3 linked regions of the Astyanax mexicanus genome follow. The protein of the gene in region 2 purifies or fractionates together with the protein of the main gene of each other region. This does not show direct contact. Links are inferred from orthologs where the notes say so. Each region holds a gene or a part of one and is shown on either strand. Other genes may lie near its edges.

Region 1 (7,937 bases), on a different chromosome or scaffold from region 2:
AGCATGTGTCCCAATACTTTCACCCAAACTGGTAATCAGCATCCATATCTTTATGACACTAATCCACACTTTCTTTGAGCTCACTCTAAAAGAAGGAAAGTAAATGAGCCTCATTCTTTTCCAGCTCAAAGCTGTTTATTCTCCACAGTTAGCTCTTGAAGCATGTAGTGTTGCTTTATCGTTATAATCCTTCAGGAAGTGGTCTCTGCTTCTCATTCTCACTCTCTGCCAAGTCATTGTCTTCTGAAGCCTTATCTGATCTTCCATAATGCTGATGAGAAAAACACTGCGCACCATCCTGCTGTTTCTTATTTTTAGAGGAGTTTCCTCTCTTTATCCTGTTTTAAAATATTTTCCCTATTTTTTCCTTTATCCACACATCTACTATATAGTTACAAAAAAATGGTGATAAGTATCATGGTACAGATATATAGTGATTTTCTAAATCAAATATATATTATAAAGGAACACAATCATATGCACAAAAGCTGAGTTCTCTTTTTATCCAATCTGAACAGTGGGATCTGAAGAAATTTCTACACTACCATCTCGCAGTCTGGGTTTAAACACAAAATGAAATGAACCATTCATAAACAATCTATACTGTATGTCAAAACATTCCTTTTGATACCTCAATATTTCCGTACAACCCAAGTTACATTAATTATATTGTTATTTTTTGCCATAATGGGCATTTGTTGATCTGTGTCTGTTGTCTTTTGTGTTCATGTCTGTAGCTGTGTGGATTTTTGACGGAGGTTGTTATCGATCAGCTGCCCAATCTTTCTGATCTTCAACGTTTCCTCAGTCATCTAGCTGTTACAGACCCGGCACCACCAAAAAAAGAACTCATCCTCGAGCAGGTACACTGCTGCTACACACACACTTTCTTTATCACTGTATTGCTAGAGAGGTTGTGAACCCATTACAGTTTTTTTGTATTTTCTGTATTACACTTAAATTCAAATGTAGATCTTGGATCTTGTCTATAATTAATTGAGCCTTTGGACCCAGGGCAGAAAAGCAGCCTGATAATGCCATCTCCATGCACAACAGTTGGGATATGGTTCGCTTTCCATTTAAACAAAAGTTTTCTGTTTAAGATTTTTCTGTTTTCTAGGATTTTTCTGTTGTCTGTTTTTGTTTTCTGTTGCCATCCATGTAGTATCCAGTTCTTCACTTCAGATGTGCAGCAGTGTTCAGTGTCCTTGCCCTTGGACTATAACCGTTGTGTTAAGTTACCTCCATTTGCACATAATCTTTCTCGTATAAGTGGGTTGCTTGGGCATTCTTAATTCTTAACTTTTTATCCTTTCTTCCTTCCTTTTTCTCCTTTGTTTGAGCCATTCCACAAAGTTCTGTGGTGAAGATTGTAAAGTTTATGTTTTTTTTTGTTATCCAATTACAGGTCAATTATGTAGGCATACAGAAAACTGTAAAGGGTTTACGTTTTTAAATAGATAAATGCAGATCATACGCCATTAGAATCTAAATCAAATATACTGATTTAATTAATAAACCATTTCTGACTAAATACTGTTTTAGCTTCCAGAAATTTGGAATGAAATTGTTGCTGAGAATTCTGGCAAGTGGAAGGCTATAGCAAAGCATCAGGTGCAGAAAGTGTTCAACCCATCCGAGAGTGAGCTGAGACAACAGGCAAACAGGTGAGTTTTAAATTTAGAAATGTGCATGCAATGTGTGATTAGTTCAGTATGATGAGCTGTGTGTGCCTGCTCCCCAGGTTGGCTGAGATGTATAATCTTGATCTGATGGAGAGTCTTATACCGGATAAGCCAAAGTGCGGAACTTGTGGTGCGGAGGGGATCAAACGCTGCTCCCGCTGCCAGGGGGAGTGGTACTGTAACAGGTATCCTACATTTACCTAACAGCAAATATATCTCAACCCTGAAACTAAGGAATCTGTATTAAATTGGATGTTTTGGATGTAAAATTCAGACCATGGCTACCTTTCAGAATGGTAGGACTAGCCATGCTACAGTGCCCCCAGAAACGGAGAGGGTTAATGGCCTTGTACAAGGACTCAAAAATGGCATTTTTTGAGCCTTGTGATCAGTAAGTCAGTGCTTATATTTGTATTATATACCTCATGGCTACTGATAACACTGGCATTATTGGAACAGCTGTGAGGTTGCTGACAGTGTGCATGCAGTGGTGTTTCATGCTATCTTATGAACACTAATACTTTTGGTTGTAAATTTGCATTTAATTTGGGCATTTTTCATTATACGACTACAAAAACAAAAAATAGTGGATTATGGATTATGGATCTAGTTTGACGTTCTAATGTACATGCAGCTCTACACACTAGGGGTGAGTGATATGGCCCTAAAATAATATCACGATATTTCACGGTATTTTCGCCATATCGATACTCTTGGTGATTTGACAAAACACTAAATTACAAAAATTATTTAAAGAATACACTACTGCAACAAAAGGAAATTTGTATTTTATTATTTCATACAATACGATATGACACACCCCTAACTGAGGTATTAAAAATACAACAATTGTATCAGATTTGTAACAGAAGTCAATGATCCAGAATGTCATGATACTAATAATGAACTCCAAATATCTCCATATATCCAGGATTAACGTAAAATAAATGATATTGGAGAGATATGATATGTCTCTAGTAGATATATAATGGGAAACGAGAAGAGTGTAAATTATTTTTTTGCTAAAAACAGCAAAAAAGTAGTACCCTGGTGTGATAATTAGGGGTGGGTGATATGGCACGATATTTCAGGGTATAATATTGTTAACGATATTCAAAAATGTTGGCGATATTGTTGCGTCTGATACGATATAGCACACCCCTACTACACACACATAGTTCTTTCTTCCTGAAAACTTGTTCTATATTTGAAACCAAAAAATTCGCATTATGCACTATTTACAGCTTTAATTCAGTTTTGAGTTCTACAAAAGTATGTGTCTTTCAGAAACATTCACTAATGAAATTCAGCAACTCCCCACAGGTTTCTGTTGTGAGTCAGTGTGTTTTCTGGCTTTTTATAGTTCTGGGGAAATGATTCTTACTGACCGTATGCCACAGAAGCTGAGGATAGAGATAAGATCACCAGACAACTAAAGTGCACTAGACACAGCCACAACTCTTTCAGACTTTGATTAGATACCAGCTACATTGTTCTAAATAATACATATGTTTCCTTGTAGAGAGTGTCAGGTGAAGCACTGGCCCAAGCACAAACTTGCCTGCCAGCTGATGGCAGAGGCCACAGAGAAACTACAGAAGGAGCTGAACATCAAGACCTGAGCAGACCGAAAATGGAAAGAGGCAGAGACTTCAGATGCAGAATCACAGAGAAGAGCAGACAGACAAATGACTAAACTCCATTATCACACTGACCTTTGTAGAATGTGTTGCTATGGTTATGGTGGTCATAATGGGAACTGAGGAAGAGAAGGAGTTTTCCTCTGCTCAAGTGAGCAGAGCATGTGCATGTTTTTCCCTGAAAATGTAAAAAAAAAAAACTTTTATAGTTCTCATAAGTGTTAGAACATTCTGCACACTGCTTCCCCATGACCAAAGGTATATGTATGAACAATGCAGATGCTTTATCCTTCACTCTCATTTCCCTGTACTTCCCTTTTGTTTGTTGGGTGGTACAACTTCTGGTACACAATATAGGCTACTGTTTGTTTCTCAACATTGAAACCCTGACTTTTGGCTAATACATGCATAAGATATATGATAGCTATATGTTGGTGCCATATGTTAATAAACACTTTAATAAATCTCCAGTGAATTGAACAACCTTGAATGTTTTTGTACAGTTTCTGTGTGTGTGTTTTGATGGCTTGTTTGATCCATATAATTACACAGTGACAAATTAGTTTAAAGTAAATTGAAGTCCATTCCTAGCACTCTAAAATATATGATGTTTTTAATCCTGTACACATTTTCCCATTAATGGGAGAATTGCTGTCGCATTCTTTTAAAGTGCCACATCATTTTTGGAATACTGTCTCATTATTTCGACTATTTCACAGTAATGGTTTATCACAAAACTATGAAAAAGTGTTTCGAAACAATGACTTAGTTTCTCAGAACAATGAAATGGTATCTCCAAACAATAAGATAATATCTCATAATAACTTAGTATATCAAAACAATTTGAGGGTATCTCATGACTTCGTGTCTTAAGACCATGTGAGGGTGTTTCAAAACAATGAGATATATATCTGATAATATTGACTTAGCATCTTAAAACAATAATAAAAATGACTCTCAAAACAATGTGATGGCATCTCAAAATAACTAATTAGTATATTAGAACAATGAGACATTATCCCAAAATAATGACTTGGTGTCTCAAAACAATGTGAGGATATCTCAAAAAATGTGATGGTATCTCTAAATTATGGCTTAGCCAACATTATCTTAAAATAATGACTTTTCTCAAAACAATATGATGGCATCTCAAAACAATGAATTAGTATCTTAGAACAATGAGATATTATCTCAAAATGACTTTGTGTCTTAAAACAATGTGATGGCATCTCAAAATAATGAATCTTAAAACAAGGTGAGGGTATCTCAAAAAATATGATGTAATCTTAAAACAATAGTAGTAGTAGACAGTATCTCTGAATCTCAGATAGTATCCCAGAATAATGACGTAGTACCTCAGAACAATAAGATATGAGTATCTCAAAATAATGACTTGGCATCTCAAACTAATGAGACAGCTATTTCCAAAACAATGGAAAAAATATATTTGGGGATTTTGTAAGTGTTTATAAAAAGACCAAATCATGGAAAATTTACTTTCCTTTTAAATTTAAAGAAAGTTTGATTTTTTTATTCAAACATGCTAATCCCACACGCGCACACACACAGGCACAGCATACACACACTCACACCCACAGAGGGCATGGCTGGAGAGCAGGCTGTGGGCTGGAGTGATACAGTGTGATTCTGCAGATGTAGTTACAGAGTCTTTAGCTCGCTGGCTGGATCCACTCAAAACCCAAAATAAGAGAGAAGAAGAAACTTACCACTCTTCTCTTTTACCAGCAGGAAGGAAAGGGGTTATTTCGTCGCTGCTTTGAGACATATCCGAAGAAATGACGCCAACATTTCGTGAGCCGTGGACGTTATCTTTCTCTGCGTTTCGCTATAAGCAGAAAAATGGAGACGAAGCGCTGGATTTGAAGCTGCTCAAACCCTCGTTCATGTGAAGGCGATTCCTGGAGCTTACCGTGGTGCTGTCTGCTCTTCATACCCGCGGGTGAGCTCTCAGCTCGGTGTCTGAGCTGAAGACAAGCAGCAGCCTTTTCTCTCAGCGGAATTGTCTTTTTAAAACTTCACCAGTCCTCTCAGCCATGCGGTAGGAGACCACCAAAGTTTTGCTTTAAAAGTGCTAGGTTAACATTTTATCTCAGACATAGTTTTAAACCTAACGTTTTTTAAAAGTAGAAGTACAAAATGTACTATACTGTATTTTTATAACTAGGGTGTCAACCAAAGTCTGTTTAGAAATCTACCTTTATTTAGGAGATATATGTGATACATTCTATATATTCTTTTAAAACTAGTTTTTAAACTATAGTTAACTAGGTAGGTTATGTAGGATAACTTATCTTTCCAGTGGGAAAGTGAATGTATTGTAGCTTACCTTTAAATCTCTTTTCAACCACTCAACTGGTCCTCAAAGACCCTTGTTGGAAAGTTTATTTGACATTTTTTCATTGTATGTGTTCTTTGAAAGACAGCATATTTAGCCGTTACCTGTACAATACCCTTAATTCTGACACTTGTATTGTATTTGTACTTCATCCTTCTTCTTCTTAATCTAAAATTTGCCAAACAATCTTTAGCCTGTCTCTTAATCGTATGGCTCTTAAGTATTATTATTATTTGACCTAAACCACAGGCCTTTCCTGAAACATCAGCAGATCTCATTTGCTCATGTTTTTCACCACAGAAATGATTCAAAGAGCTACCTAACCCTAAAACCACTTGTCAGGCTGGTGTTGATTCTACATTTCAAAGCCTTAACAAACTATATACTGTGATGATTTCTTAAAGTTAAAAAGACCTTTAATCTAAATGTCAGACATCATTCAAGGTCATCATACATAACCTGACAGACTAAGTTTAAACTGCACTGACTGCAGTGGAAAAGAACAATGAAAGCCAATAAAACCCCGCATTTTTTGAAGTCATCAAACCAAAAGTCATTACCTCTTAACTACACATCATGATGCCCAATGTCTGAAAAAAATGGCTTATTTCAAATGAGTCAAGGCAAGAGTCAGCTACAGTTGAGTGGACATACTGGACAAGACAGCCGTTGATCACTGGAAAGCATGTCTTTTGGTGAGATGATTGAGCTTAAAGAGCTCACCATGCTGGAGGGCCGCATTGAACTTACTGCTTCTGCACCATCTCGGACTACTCGTTTGGAGAGGGTCAATGCATTGAGGATAAGCCCAGGGAAAGTTCCTGAGCTGATAAACCGGGTCAGGATCATCAGACTACTGGGGGACTCTATGGATGACCCAAGACTTGTGGATGATACAGGAGAAGGCCATAACTTTCAGCCCTGCAGCCATACTCAACCCACGTGGTGTGACCTGTGTGGAGACTTCATCTGGGGGTTGTACAGACAAAGCCTTCGCTGTACAAGTGAGTATCACCTTCATTGTGCTTCCTGTGAATTGAATGAAATAGTTTATTCTTTAACCCCTCAGTCTGAAGCCCTCAAACATAATATTGTAGTTACCAAATCTATCAAGTAGTTACATAGTTAATACATGAACACAGTTTAGGATTAACAACTTAATAACAAGCTAAATGTTTAAGGAAGTTTTGTATAGTGCAGTCTGTGATGTAGATTTACATCCATGCATCGACAAGCTTAAAAGTAATGAAAAGTAAGGTATATGATCCACATAATCCATGAATGTTCTCGGTATATAGTCGCTATCCAGCAGTCTCTAAAACAGCAACTTTTACAGAAGAGAGAAAAAACTTGTATAAATATATTTTTCAAGATAGGATTGTCTCTCAGTTTCTCTTCTTTTCTTTTCTCTTACAAAATGAATGGCTTGTCACACACCCCTGTTAGTGGTTGGGTTTTTCTTCTCTACACATTTCCCAACACATTCCCACAACCTCTCAGTAAGATTTATATCTGATGAGTGATTGTATTGTAGTAGTATTATCTGAACTTCCTTATTTGTTAACCAAATTCATCACTGGATGAAAAGCGTGGCATCTTTCTTTGTTGTATTATTTTATTGAGTATAAGTTGTAGTTATTCAACAAAAAAGAAATGATCAGTAAAAGGAGTCTGTAAGAAACACGCAGAACAGTTAATGAGTTGTTACAACTACAACTAGTTAATCCTCTCACTCTACCATACATAACATAATCTTCTGGAGTTTGCTCTAAACTATTTTTTGGCACCAAACACAAAACATTAGAACATGCTGATAACAGTAGGATAGTTATTTGACACATAAATAGGTTGGCACAAAAATGTGAATGTCATTTTACAACCCTGTTATTTTGATAATAGATCTGTATATTTCATTTATTTTATAAAAAATAAACTTGTGCTTTCCCTTCTGATGAGTCTGTAGGTCCAGGTTGATTGGTCATTTGAGGGAGTTTGGATAAAAGACAGCTAAAAATAAATGCTGGCATCTGCCTGTGTTAACGCCCTTTTAAGTCCGATTTGTTTTATGGACAGGAACAAATACCTATTTATGGCGCCCTAAAATGAAAGACTTCAACACTGTTTGATACTCTGCTTTGTTGGATGTGTTAAAATCAGACTGACCTATCAGAGGTTTATTTTCCTGGTCGCAGACCATAAAAATAAGTCTCACATTAGCAGATTAGAACACAAAAGCTTAGCTATATGAAGAGCAAC
Region 2 (7,611 bases):
TGTAGTTGAGTTCACTGTGATCGTAATATCTATAGTCATCGTGGAAATGCTCAGGCCTACGTGTGCGACGAGGCTGATTCTCATAGTAAGTCTCAGGGGCATAATAGTACCGACCTCCATCTCCGTTCTCTGTTATCTGCCCACCGTCACTGACGAAGGAGGGCGAGGAAGAGGAGTAGTCGTGGGGAAGGTCAGAGAGAGAGCGAGGGAGATATGGAGGGGCAGACAGACGGTGGCTCTCTCTGCGGGAGACCTCGTGGGGGGGTCGTGGGGCTGCACTACGGAGAAAACTCTTTCGTGCTCCTGCCTCCGCCGCTGAGCCCAGCGGGTACACATTTGCCCCTGCACCAGGTACTGCAGGGGCATCAGGCAACGGCACCTCAGTTCGCCGTGGGATTGTTGGGCCATGACGGATGAACGGGGGCATAAGATCTGTGGAACAATGGGATGCAGGTGAGTAGGTAATGGGTAGGATGATGGATAAAAAAAGGTCCACATAACTGCATAAACATCTTGTTTTCTACTTTACATAAAACTAGAGATGAGAAAAGGGATTATATTTCAACGCACTGTGATCAACTTTCTTTGCATATTGACAAAATACACTTTTTTTAAGCATGTTGAGGATAGCATCAGTGCTTATAAAAATTTGAGGCAACTGCCCATTTATTTACATAAGCGAAATTAGTTAAGTTTAACTGGATGAAGGACAGGAAAGTTTGAATAGAAATTACTGCACTCTGTATATAAAACAGTGGTCCTTGAATCAGTGTTGGCACCAATATTTGCTCTATCCCTAAGTGCTGGTGTAAAAAAAAGTATAAAAGAGACAGAATCACTGACACTGAACTCAATAAGCTGATATGAGCAAATGGGCTGTGCAATATGGCCCGAAAGAATATCTGTAATATCTGTATAGTATTTCTGAGATAACAATATTCTTGGCGATATGACAAAGAATATTATATATAATATTCAAAATTATAACAAAATAACAAAATTATACATAATAAAAATATCTTTACTGAAATATATACTTTAACAGTAAATCACAAAGTCTCCAATATTACATAAAATAGTGCATGGATATGATCTGCAAACAAACTGTTAAAAGTAAATAAAGTATGTAACACAACAAATAAAAAATAGACTGATTGCAAGAATATCGCAATGTCCTATTTTAACAAAATCATTGCTTACGATGTGATATGGCACACTTCTAATAAGTATTACAGATTTTTAGAGATCATCCGCATGAGCTGAGTTAATTACTAAAAAATAGTCCTGTCATGATAATTACATTTTTGACTTATCGTTCAATAAATGGACATGGCCTCAATATTATTTAATAATCGTGATATCATCTATTGTGATTATTTGTATGTTTGTTCACATATGTAACAGTGAACAGCGTATAAACCAGTCATGCAATGACCAATCAGTGCTTTAATAACTGTGACTCCATACACACAGTGTGGACTGAAGTTGAAGAAAAAAAAATTATATTTATGATTAATGAAAATTGTTGTATTTAAAAGGGTGAAATTGCTTTGTTATGCTATATATTACTCTATTATTCTGTCATAATTGTTTCAGTGGCATTCAAAGGTTAATATCATTTATTCCAATAATTTCTAGGATTATACATCAACCACAAAAACATCAGGACATGCCTAACTTAACTAAAAACACTGACAGAAACACAGAGCTCTCCTGTCAAATTCATAGATAGATGTAGACAAATTATAAATACATTTTCTATAAATTGTATTCCGTGGGTAGCTTTAAACCAGTAATGGTTTACTCTCTTATTGGCACTTTAAAGCTGGGTAAAGTTAAATGGGGTCTCCAAAACCTCTCAGTGAAATGCTTTAGCTCTAAATATGATACATTACTGGTTAGATAACTAGCTAACTACATTAAGAACAGGTCTAATTATTAGTTTTTGGGTGATTTCTCAAGGTTAAAATAAAATAAATGTAATTTTGGAACCTAGTGAGCGAGTCAAGTAGTTTTACTGTCAACACTGCATATGTACAGGTTTGAAACTACGTTACTCTCCTTCCCAAAGTTACAAAAAGTACAGCAAAATTAAATATATAAATAATAAAAGAATGAGAGACACTAAATGTAACTAACTTACAATACAACAATGTCACGGATATAGACATACGTGAGACATAAGACACGAGACAATAGTGCAATATAAGAATGAGAGTGTACCAGTTAGGTATGTTATGATGGGGGATTAAAGAGGGAATGACAGGACCAGTATAAAACTATACAGTGATAACCTAGCTAGTTAACCTAACTAACTATATCTCAGGCTAAATTACCCGGGTTTAACTTTACTCACTCCTCAGCAGCGGGGACGTCTCCTTCTTCACGTACTTCCCTTGAACTTCTGCTGGTTTAGAAGCTTCGCTCTTGCTTTTCTTTCTGGAGAGCATCGCTCAGAAGCAGCGGCGGCGGCGGGTTTTACTGTAGTGAAATAACCGCGGGGAAGGCATCCTGCGAACCAGTCCCTCCGTGTCGTTCCTGGACCTGAGGAATTAACGCTACAGCGGTCATCTTCACACCACTGACGGGTTGATAACCTAGCTGATCCTCCGCGGTTCCGGCTGGTTCCTCACACCGCCCCGCAGCCCATAGCGACCTAGCCTGCTAGTCAGTTAGCTCCGCATCCGGACAACAACAGAGCAGCAGCCCATTAGCCTGCTAACCTCTAGCGCAGCTCAAACTTTCCCAACTGCAGACTTCAGACTCAACACAGAGCTCCACACGCGGTTCCACACCGCGCCACGGTCTTCCCGAGTGTGTAGGGGCTCTACCGACCGAGGGTAAGGGAGTTTAAGCTGCTGAATAAGTTTAGAAGTGAACGCTGCGCAGTAGTTGTGTAGTTAGCCTGTTGCTCCGTAATTACCCAGCCCCTATCATTAGCTAGCGCAACACTAGCGCTCCCAGTCCCAGTCCGCTCCTCCGCAAGGCTTTGTGGGAGAACTGACGCACGCAGACACACAGGAGCACCCAGCGACTGTTCCCCAACCTGACCCCAGATCAGTCATTTACTACACACAACTAAACCCTTTTATTATTAAGATGAAAAATATATTGTTATTTTATTGATAGGGAATGTTTTTTGTAAACTGTTATAATTTAATTTACATGTTCAATATCGTCAAACATCCATAATTAGTGAATTTGGATTGAAACATGAGAATTGTTTGCTGCTGTAAAAATACTAAAACAAAAGAAGTTACGTTTAAGATTTTACACAAACCTGACCCCAGCTCAGTCATTTATTACATACAACTGAACCCTTTCATTAAACAAAATTATTAAAAGCGAAATTATAGTTATTTTATTGACAGAGAATGTTTTTAAAACGGATATCCTTAAATATACATGTTCAATGCAGTAAAAAAAAGCCATAAGTAAATATGTATTGAAACATGGGAAATGTTTGATACTGTAAAAAAAAAAACAATAAAAGAAGTTACTTTTAAGATTTTACACATACACACATTAAACACGTTCCCTGTTAAAAGTGTTTATAGTATGTTTAAAATTATAATGTACATTCCTATACCTTCTTGGTAGAAAAAGGAACTGTATCTATCAGTTTGAACTGTTTTGAATCAAGGTAAAAAAATAAAAAAAAAACAGGTATCTAATGAGTATCTAGATAAAATGGTCTAAATATAAGCCAAACTCTACTTTTGAAAATAAAAGAACAGTTCAGTTTCTGGATCCGTTTCTCTGATTTTGCTATTTATAGGTATATGTTTGAGTAAAATGAATGAATTATTAAAATCAAGAAAACAAAACCGACTGTGATTAATGTGTAAGTATGCCCCCTGGCTGTGGATTGCTTTTAGCTGTTCTGAATACTTTACCTTTGATTACAGTTCACAAAGTGTCTTAAAACTATTACTTTCACATCTCCTGTTGAAATTATAAACACATAGAAAAAAATTTATGAAAATTGCACTTTTCAAAATGATATATTTTCTTTGTATTCAGAGGACACTGTTTCAGATAGATGTACCTCATTTGTTTATAATACAAGGGGTGGAATATGTTTTACCTTTACAATTTTATTTTATATATATAAAAATACCTATTGAAATCAAATAATTTTGTTAATCACATATTACAGTAAATATTAGATCATAAATTAAAAAAAATAAATGCAGAAAACAGATGGTCCAACGAGAAAAGATAAGAAATTACATAAATCTGAAAGCTGTTAAGAACACAAAACATTAATTTGGATTAATTTAAAGTCACCCATATACTGCTGTTTGGGGTTTATATCTTTTTTATAATTCATGTACCCATTTGTTGTTCTATGTTTTGTTTTTAAGTATGTGATTGTTTATAACATGTATGTAATTCTTTTAAATGTTACCCTTAACTGTTATAAGCTTATTATAAACTAAGTTAAGAAGAAAGCAAAAAAAGTTTACCCCTGATTAGTGGATTTCATTATTATACTGTACAGCAGCACACACAGTGGGCCAGGTGGGTGGGTGAGCATCCGGAAGCTTCCACATTCAAACCCAGAAAATGACCACTCAAACACCCCATTCTCTAAAACTGTTTACTGCATCTCACCGTTTCACACAAACACTGATTGGCCAATACAATGTCAGTTCACTTGATAGACAAAAGCAGCTTTTGATGGCCAGTGGCAACAGGGAAAAGTCTCTTTGGCTCTGTTCAGAAAACATTAAACACTGTAGAACAGTTACACTTCCTGCATCAAGCACCATTACTGGATGCCTTCCATTCATTACATTACTAGGTAGTTTCCTTTAGCCGAACTGGCTTCCCTTTACATGCTGGTGATGTACGTTTTAAACATGCTCCTGTTTCTTAAGATACATGGCCATTTGAAGAAAAAGAATAATACAAGTTATTAACATAACAAAATGTCTTCAGGTCAGTTTCCTCAGACCTACATTAGGCCTCATCAAAGACCAACAAAAATTCCCAATGGTGACTCACCACTGGCACTGCAGGCTTATTTATTCAAGGCTGTGTACACTGGCCCCTAAAGTAATGCTTCTTTAAAACACATTCACAGTGATCTATACAGTGCTAAAAACAGAACATTTAAAAGACAATCTCATTTTAATACAAGTTGTGCTTCACTTAGTGCCTTCAGTTTAAGCCCAAGCAGACAGACAGGCTTCAAACACAGAAGTCTGTTGGTTTGAGACAATCAAAATGAACACTGATTCTGTACAGAATAAAGTGCACTTTAACATCAGGATGTTTCAGACTGCAACCCAAAGTCAGCCTGAGCCATGTGTCCCTTCATATTCTATCAAAATAAAGGTCATAATTAAATAAATGAATTCAAGCTAATTCAGTACTGAACATATTAAACACAAAACTGGGAAATATAGCTGGACATGAGATGGTTGTAATCTCTAAGAAATACTGAGAAAGGCTGAGTCACAGTGCAAATACACAGGTGTTGGGAAAGATGTAGTCATTCATAATTGTTTAACAGTTTCATTTCTTCACATACTGATGGTATTTTGGCTGAATGCCCAGAGCTCAAACAATGCCTAAGGTCCATCAAGAGTCATACTGAACTTGAGGAAACAGCAAACATTTAACTGTGCGTGTGAAGAACACCACAGTAGTCTAAGGGTGTTTTCACACCTCTAGTTACTTTGCTCTGGTCTGAATTAGTTAAATAGTTTGTAAGTTTTCCCCTTGGTTTGGTTTGTTTTCACACAGGGAAACTCCAAGTGCAGTAATGTTCTCTATGCATATTGGTCACACATCTGTAGGGAGGGAGCAAGAAAAAGTCAATACAGGGAAAGGACCCTGTTATCTGGACTAGCGCAATAAACCATTTTAAAAATGTGTTTAGCCCAGACTTGCAGAGCACATCCGATAGTTTGGTTGAATAGAAGTCAGATCATATTCTTACTTCAAACCAAATCACACCAAGGGAAAAAATTAGCCTGAATTTGACTCCCTGAATTTTGTTGCAGTCTAATGAAATTTTAATGTTTATTATTAGCTAACAATTGTAATCAGTGTTTTCTATTGGTTTGCAATAATAATGAACCAAAAATGATGTCTTAATGGCCTATTCAATAAAATAAATTAAAATAAACATAAGTAAATAATATAACACAAACAAACGTAGTGTAGACTGGATTATCAGGAGCGAGTGAAGTGGTAGGGCACAGGAGTCAGGGGTGAGGGACTGAGCTCACGCACAATCTTGTTGAGACTGGAGATTTTTTCTTCCAGGAGGTAGTTCTTCTTCTCTGTCACTTTGTGTCTCTGCTCACTCATTTCCAGAGCCTTCAACAGCTGAGCGTTCTCCACATACAGATCCTTAATCAGCACGTCCGCCTTACTGTTCTTATTAAGCTAGACAGAGAGAAAGAGAAAGACCACTGTAACCCTTACATTACTGCACAAAAAGAACAGAAAAATAAAAATGTACAAAGTGTTTGAGGTGGTGTGCATTTGCATGTACCTGTTCTTTGAGTTGAGAAACCTTCTCCTGCAGCAACAGCTTGACATTTCGGAGTGTAAGCTCCACCTCCTTCATCCTCTCCTCCATCTTCAGCAGTGCCAGCTCCCGCTCCTCCTGTAGATGAACAGGATTTGTTAAACAGAGTTCTTGAGCAGCAAAGCCTAAGTCCGTAAATACCGCAGATCATAATTGGTCATCCAATCGAGTAGATTTTTATCAGAACCCGCTAAGGGACAAAATAATACAGTATGCAGTATACATTTGTAAGAACTACTGTAAAATAATGTACACATAAAAAAAACACAGCAACAAACAATTTTAAAATTTACCCTGATTCTTTATTTGGTCTCAGTTTCACAGATTTATTAATACTTTAAGGTCAGAAAGAAGAAACAGAACACAACTTAAATAAATAAAACATAAAACACTAACAACAAATAAATAAATAAAATATAAAAAATAAACTCCAAAATTAACTCAAATAACACAAATAAATAAATTAATTAATAACTTTTAATAGCTTCTACTTAAAAGTACTACGAACGCAGATAAACTTCTACACTGAACTTCTACACTGGAAAGTTGACGACACCAAAATCCCTGTAAACCATTATCTGTTGGACACGATTTAAGCTTCAACATTCACTCAAAAAATACTTGAGCTATACTATTTCACAAACACATACACAAAGAGAAAATAGTGCAATAAACTGAGCTACGGAAAATCACAAAGACTTTAAACAAACCAACCCCTGGAACAAAGAAAATACGGTTTTAGAAACAAACAAACAAAAAAAAATACAGATCATTAAACAGGGGCAACAATACAAGTCTTCAAGTTCTCAGGATTTAAACTTGTGGTGTAGTGTAACACATTTCAACACACAAATACCCTGAACATAACCACTGAAATGTAACCTTATTTTATCATGTTGGTTGATCTACAGCATGGTGCCTCAGCGTAAACTGTGTGTATTATACACAACGTGATCACAGTATGAAAGTTTCATGCTTTTACTTTACATGATTTAACATGCAAATACTCTGCTGGACTTTTCAGCCTACCCTGTTTGTTCCTGTAGTCTTTAAAACATGATCAT
Region 3 (7,605 bases), on a different chromosome or scaffold from region 2:
ATTTAACACAATCACACATTTAAAAAGTCAAACTATCATCAAACATGCCTCCACATTTACTTAATCTGTTTTGCAGGTAACGAATGCAAACAAAATAAGTGAATTATATGAAACAGCGCAAAAAGACAAGCTTTCCTTTATTGTTTACATGAATAGAGCTTGCATTTAAACATCTTATGCAGGCTATAAGAAAATGTTATGCCTAAATTATTCCACCAAACAAAACATCAGAGTGTTTTCTCCAACAGAGCTTAAATTTTAACAAAAAGAAAGCATCCAACACATAACTGTGGCTGAAAACAAGTGCGCAAAACATTGCGCCATGCCTTGTACTACTGCTAAAACTTGTCTGTCCACATTCCACTGCTGTCATTCCTAAACTATGTTAAATGATCACCTGACAAGAGAACATTCCTATTTTGACAAACATATTGTAAACCTGTTAACCCATGCTGGGGAATTTATGTGCTGTATTTGGTCGGCTCTCCTACCTCGTCAAAGCCTGCCGCCAACAGCTCCTGTAGCATCTGCATGTTAACCTCATATCCACGACCGGTGCAGGTGGGCTCGTTGGCAAATGGCAATAATGATTCTCGAATCACCTGCAGGGCTTTGTGGTGGGGGTTTTTGGGGTTGGCACTGCGGCCCTGCTGGCGCGGGTCCTCTGGCAGGCTCTTGCCCCCACCTGTCTCCACCTTGCCAGCATCAGAAGACAGGCGGGAGAGGTTCCGTAGGCTCTCCCGTATCTCCTGCAACATCTGCTGACTGTTGCCACTGTAGTTGCTTGCCGGAAACGTCTTCGGCCGCATCTGCCTGTATCCTTCGAGTTTCTCGCTTCTCTTCATGAAAAACCATGTATCTCACCAATCCCCAGTGTGAATGAGATGTTGCACGGTGCACAGTGACACTGTGAAAGTGTTAACAGCAAGCAGTGGATTTTACCTGCATACCAGAGCGATGCCCAAGTGTCTGTATATGCAAGGGTCAGACAAACAAACAACATTCAAAAAGAAGGAGAAAGAACAACAGGGTATTAGAATGGTTTCACTATAAAGGTCTAGATATAAAGTTAGTCTAAATCAACTCAAGAATCAACAACACTAGTTATGTCTAAGCGGACACACACTTATTTTGATAAGACAGCCATACATAAACAAACCTATATGCTATCTATCCTTCTACACAGTTTGCAACGTAAACCTCAGATGAAAGTATTTGTGCAGGTGGATACAATATGTGAGCTCTGCCCTGCTGTCAGTACCTGGAAGATTTACTGTGAAACAAGCAAAGCGTCAGTGTGAAGTCATCTTTCCAGAATAACAACAATTTTTTTTAAACACAGACTAGCCACTATTAACAGCTTATAATAATATTAATAACACTAATTGTTTAGCAACTTTTTAACGTTTAAGCCAATGCTAACTTAACTAGCCCAAAGATGCCTAATAAAACTCTAAAGGTAACAAGTACAAAGCAATAAAATTAACTGCTGACTGCTGAACAAAAAACGAATTCAAATCTTTTACGTTTTTTTTCAGCAAGTTTTTTATTTTTTTAAAAAAAGGTCGTCCAACATCTGAATGTATTGTTTCGCTCACCCAGGTCCTAACCTAGTTATTACAACTAATTATATATTATTTAAGTTATATAGCGATAAATAAAGGCTAAATAAAGCTAGTTAACTAACCTAGTTAACTAACTAGGCAACTACCTAACCTGGCCACCCTTGTAAAAAGTGTATTAAAAAGTACTTAAGAGTATTAAAAGTATGTTCAAATTAGGTAAAGAATATTAAAAATGCATTTGCGGTTTAATATACTTTATGAAAAATACAAATTAAACATATTTTCTCTGTATTTCCATAAAATGCATTTTAACCAATATGCTTTAAATGATACGTTGTGTCGATAGAAAATATAAATATTGGCATTAAATACCGCTTAAAGTGCACTTTAGTGTATTTTTCCCCAGTGTCAATAAGGAACAATATGTGCATCAATAGGCAAAGTAGTACATTTACAACATACTTCAAGAGTATTAAAAATGTTTCTAAAAACACATACTTAAATCCACTTAAGTTCGCAGAAGATATACGAAAAAAAGCACTCAAAAGCACAATTTAAAACTTTTATATTGTGTTTAAATAGAGCTTAATTACAACTGAAATATACTTAAGTCGCCATAAATTGTCTCAAAATGGTACATTTACTAACGTTATGCATTTAAGTACATATTTTAATTCCATGTTGAGTATAATTTAAATATATATACTTAATACACTTTGTTATACAAGGGCAACAATTAGTTGCCAGCTGCTATACAAACAAACAAACCAACCAACAGAGGATACATTAACATTACTCCTCCAGCGGCCGTGTTTAAACAGGGTTAGTTCGATGTTATCTAGAGTTATTTAAATGTACGGTGTTATTTTATCTTTCAGTAGCGACTCTTCTAACAGAGCTTCATGTTGAACACAGAAGATCGTTAGCCTGGCTAGTTCAGGTTAGCTAAGCTAAGCTAGCTAAGCTAATGTTGCAGAGTTAGCAGCACAGCTTCACTAGCTACCACTCTAGTTAAAGACTAGTTTTATCCCGCTCATTTCGAAGCCTGCGGTGTTGAATTCTCTGCTCCTGAGAATAAACACTATAAACAGCGGTGTTTCTGCTGGGAGAAGTTCACTCCTGGTGATAGCAGAGCGCCGAGGCCTAAACACTAACGATTCAGAGCGGAGAGCGGAGCCTAGCTTAGCCGTTAGCCCGGACACCCAGCACAGACTTAAAGTTACTCACCGTCGACTAAAGAATATCCATACTGAACCCAGACAACATCTACAGCGCAGTGTCGGTCTGAGGAGCCGAGGAACTCCGCTAAAACTCAGTGAAAGTGTGTGAAAGATCCGCTAGCTCCAGCTAAAGACTCGGCTTTGTATTGACACGGTCGCCTTGGCACTCCGAGTCTGTCAGAGCGGAGATGCCCGGATGTGTGAACGCTTCACTCTGCTCCCGTACAGAGATCACTCAGCTCAGCTCAGCTCTCTCTCTCTCTCTCTCTCTCTCTCTCTCTCTCTCTCTCTCTCTCTCTCTCACACACACACACACACACACACACACACACACGTTTTTACGGAACCCCTGAAGGGACATGGTGTATTTATTACGTAAAAAAGTGGTGAGCATCAGATATTAAGTGGTGAGCACCACATACTAAGTAGTAAACACCAGATAGTAAGTGTGAGCCTCACATACTAGGTAGTGAGCACCAGATAGTACGTGGTGAGCACCAGATAGTAAGTGGTGAGCCTCACATAATAAGTGGTGAGCACCAGATAGTAAGTGGTTAGCCTCACATACTAAGTGGTGAGCACCAGATAGTAAGTGCTGAGCACCAGATACTAAGTGGTGAGCACCAGATACTAAGTGTAAGCCTCACATACTAAGTAGTGAGCACAAGATAGTAGGTGATGAACCTTGCATACTAAGCTGTGAGCACCAGATACTAAGTAGTGAGCACCAGATAGTAAGTGGTAAGCACTCCATACTAAGTGCTGAGCACCAGATACTAAGTGGTGAGCACCACATACTAAGTGGTAAGCACCAGATAGTATGCGTGAGCCTCACATACTAAGTAGTGAGCACCAGATTCTAAGTGGTGAGCACCAGATACTAAGTGGTGAGCACCTCAAATTATGTGGTGAGCACCAGATAATGGTAGCCAGAAAGCTATAGTTTAAACTGACATATTTCACAGTGAAATAAAGTTCTTAGCTAGCTAGCTAGTTTAGCTAACCTTAACTACTTTATTTTAGTGTGGAATGTTTTAGATAGGTAGCGAAAGGTAGCTATAAGCCCAGAGCTAACGATAACCAGCTAACTCTTATGGGACATGTAAACTAAACCAAGCTAAATTTGCTGTCTTTAAGTTAGCTTGCTCGATCTTTGCAAAAGCAGCCTACATTACAAGCTAAATAATCCACACAGTTTTGATAACTGGATAGAGGATTGCAGAGCATGTGCACAGCACAACGTAGCAGTCTGTAAAGTCATGTACAGATCAGTGACTATACAATATGGTGCTCACTGCTTACTATCTTGTGCTCACCACTTTTTTATGTAAAAAAAAAAAATACACCACATTCCTAAACTAAAACTTAACTAAACATAACTAAAAGTGCCCTTTAGAGTGGGAAAACTGGCCCCACATATGTGTGTGAGTAATGGGACCAGGAGGAGTTAAACATGGCCCCCTCTGGGCTGTACACTGAAAATAGGGCTAAATATGAGCCGTAATATTCAGGATACGTTTATATTACCAGGCTAAAAAAATCCGTAAACATGCCAAATCCATTTATTTTTTAAATGTTTTTAATTTAAAATCAGATTTGAGTCACTTCCATATACAGTCCTATATCAGATATGTATCCGATCCATGGACATGCGAAAATATGAACGGTCAAATCAGAGTTCATGCGTCTTTTTGCCTTTACGCATGCGTTATGTGCTTCTCTCACACATCTCTTGGCTATTGTTGAAAAATAGCAAAAACAAGCCGCCTGGCCTTTTTTCTACTCCTTGACCTGGCCATGTTCTTCAGACAAGCTGTTTATTCTCCACTCCAGCAAAAGATGCTCCACATATGAGCTGCTAACTCATCCATTTCCCTTTATAAAGCTACGAGTCGTGTCTCATATGACATTTTTTGTTGTTTGTGAAGAAGGTGACGTTTATACACATAATTACATTAATGTGCGCATGTGATGCGTTTTAGGGACAGATCCATTGACATTACACACAGATACAGGTATTTTACATTTGTGAATGTAAACAGTCAAAATAATAGTCAATAGTCAAATAATGATGCCCTTTAATGATATGGCCTCATGAGTCCATGCTCACCCACAATCCACCTAGCCCATGTTCCACCTATGTGACCACCTTACTCTACACAGGATTGCATTTGGTTTAGGAGCACCACAGAATTTAATAAAATGTAATCACCGTCCAATCAGATCCCACTATTTAATTGGAGAGGGGCTAAAAAAAAAAGTAAAAAGACAACAACAAGAATATGGATGCAGCATCACCCTCCACATCAACAATAATGGATGATATTGTAGTCTATGCTTTTTGGAAAGTTTTAATATATCTGCCATTGTATGTGGAGCACTACTATGTATGATGTATAAAATAGTATGTAATCCATTTTTTGCCTGTCCTAGCAAGCAAAATCACACAATATTGGATCTGCTAGACACCCTTTATGTTTATTTTTGTGCAAATTGATTCAACCATGATTCAAACTATACTTACATTAAATCTGTATATCCTGTTTGTATTACATTATTCAAGTCTTTCTTTGTTCCTTGATATCAAGGCAGTTCTTGTAACTGTTAGCAAACCATGCTAACAGTTACAAGACATGACTTTGCAGCATATGCTAGTCTTGTATCAAAGTAGTTATGTAGCTAGGTTTTAGTACTTCAGATATACTGATTCGATTGTTATATGGTTTTATTTGTGTGCAAGCCTGATAACTGCTTGTGAATCATGTTAACTTGGTATCTTTTGTGTTCCTGTAGGGCAGTGGTTCTCAAACTGTGATGTGAAGCATTCCAAGGTGGTACACTGGATGACCTAAGAAAATAAAAATCTGCTTGCCTTAAAATATTGAAATCAAAGGACTGAAATCAATGTTTCCACCATAAATGTCCTAATATTGCATTTGCTTGTGTGCAGTTAGAACATGTATGTAACCCTAAACCTCAGGCCTTCACTCTCAGATCGACAGTTTTATAATTATTCAGATCAGTTTTATCTTGGCCCTAGTGTAAAACCCTGTAAAACACCACAAGTAAACTATACTAATATGGGCATGTTATATGTTTGTAACCTACACTAATCTAGCACACAATATGGACATTGGGGTACCTGTTCATTGTTTATCCTGCTTGTATTGCAGTAAAACTCTCTCTACTTCTAATTTAGGTGCTTTAATTAATCACTTAGTTCAAACTAAATCAAGCTATTAAAACGTGTCCAAGAATTATTGGAATCTTGGCATAACTGCACTATTAATAAAGTAAAGTTGGAAAGCAGTGACATCACAACCTTTACACTGTTTTAGACACTTGCTACAAGTTCATGCATGCCAGGAAATAAAAAGCGAACATTTTGTTTTTAAATTTGAAGGCAAAACAAACTGTATTCCTAAAATTACCCACCTAACATGGATCACTGCATCCAATTTTCAAATTAGAGGGCACTTAACAACATTTTTTTAGACACATTACCTAATTGACAGGTACATCACCAGATTGTTTTGCATTAAAAGGAAACCCTAGCTGTCACTCAACATTTTTACACCCATATAAAGGGCAGCCAATAGGGCAATATGCCAATTAGAGTTATTCATATCCAACCCACACACAAATCAAATTTCAGTCTAACTGGAGATGCATCTGACAACCAAGTGTAAATGCAAGTAGTTAAATCTCATCAATCTTACGATCTAGTCACAAAGGGCATGCTATATTTTACCACTCAAAACACATCAACATTGAAGAAAAAAAGAAGAAAATAAATGTTAATGGCAGCATTTGGTTTTGAAAGCAGTCCATTTTTTGTACATTTTCTATTTACTGAAAAGGTTTTTTTTGCATGATTGTGTCTGCATGCCTAAAACATTCTGCGCTTCCGTAGTGTGGTCATTTTTTGTTTCATAAAATAATTATTTATACACAATTAGAGCCTTAGTATGTTATGTTGTTTACAAAATAAACAAAATGTACAGATTTGGTTTGCTACAAAATTTTTGAAACTATTATTTCTACGAAATAAAACTTTAACATTTGTTTTGTTGCAGTGATATATTATTGAAATTAATAAAATATATTTTAACATCACGTGGCCAAGAATATCACTCACCCCTACTAGTCAAATTAATATCAAAAGGTAAATAATAAAAGGTCTACATCATGACAACTATTACAATTACATCAGGAATACAGACAAGTTGAATTGACTGATAAATAATAGTCCAATAAAAGTCTTGTCATTTTTTTACAATGCAATGACCTCTTTGGCGAACATTTGATAAACTTTGTGACGATTCATATGCAGTGCACACTTTCAAACTCAAATAAAAAGATCACTCTTTTATTAAGTGCATTATCCAAGGAAAGCATAACAAAACAAACAAAAACTGTTGGTCAGGTGAACATTTACTGAAAATAAATCACAACTCTTTGGTGCTGCGTATCACACAGGAACCTGTCTGTTTATGTAAACTGCCTCTCCATCAGTGCCACACACTAAGCACTGTCCAAGCACATCCAGACTGTTGACAGACAGAGTCTGGCTGGGAAGCATGTGAGTGGTCTCCAGCCTGCCCTTGCTGGAGTCTCCATTGAGCCAGGCACTGATGAGGGACTGGTTTCCCCCTGCAGGAGCTGCCGCACTGCGGGACATGATGCTGGTGTTGCGGCCTAAGAAACACAGACACAAAATAAAAGAGGAAAGACATTTGAAGTTTGTATAAGACTGAAAGTCAAGGCACTTTTAAAAGGTACTGAACATGCAGCATCAACACTATAGAATAGCCCATAAT

The links. Proteins that work in one complex are often made in the same cells at the same time.
Region 1: the proteins of sav1 (region 2) and ras association domain-containing protein 1 purify together in Homo sapiens (affinity purification with western blotting; 3 studies listed by BioGRID, with this or other methods). This does not show direct contact. The link is inferred for Astyanax mexicanus from reciprocal best matches to the Homo sapiens genes SAV1 and RASSF1.
Region 3: the proteins of sav1 (region 2) and lats1 purify together in Homo sapiens (affinity purification with western blotting; 3 studies listed by BioGRID). This does not show direct contact. The link is inferred for Astyanax mexicanus from reciprocal best matches to the Homo sapiens genes SAV1 and LATS1.

The regions. Positions count from the first base shown.
Region 1 is NC_064412.1:14,811,529-14,819,465, reverse strand, and holds the start of ras association domain-containing protein 1, read left to right. Parts: upstream 1-4,926; 5' UTR 4,927-6,366; coding exon 6,367-6,685; intron 6,686-7,937. Other genes in the region: zmynd10 (zinc finger MYND domain-containing protein 10), read left to right, coding at 738-863, 1,546-1,667, 1,745-1,870, 3,208-3,307. UniProt on the Homo sapiens protein: Potential tumor suppressor. Required for death receptor-dependent apoptosis. Mediates activation of STK3/MST2 and STK4/MST1 during Fas-induced apoptosis by preventing their dephosphorylation.
Region 2 is NC_064414.1:39,086,151-39,093,761, reverse strand, and holds the start of sav1 (protein salvador homolog 1), read right to left. Parts: upstream 3,043-7,611; 5' UTR 2,451-3,042; coding exon 2,357-2,450; intron 433-2,356; coding exon 1-432. Other genes in the region: nin (ninein), read right to left, coding at 6,187-6,402, 6,512-6,625. UniProt on the Homo sapiens protein: Regulator of STK3/MST2 and STK4/MST1 in the Hippo signaling pathway which plays a pivotal role in organ size control and tumor suppression by restricting proliferation and promoting apoptosis.
Region 3 is NC_064408.1:49,370,429-49,378,033, reverse strand, and holds the start of lats1 (serine/threonine-protein kinase LATS1), read right to left. Parts: upstream 3,012-7,605; 5' UTR 2,793-3,011; intron 970-2,792; 5' UTR 846-969; coding exon 492-845; intron 1-491. Other genes in the region: nucleoporin Nup43, read right to left, coding at 7,257-7,483. UniProt on the Homo sapiens protein: Negative regulator of YAP1 in the Hippo signaling pathway that plays a pivotal role in organ size control and tumor suppression by restricting proliferation and promoting apoptosis.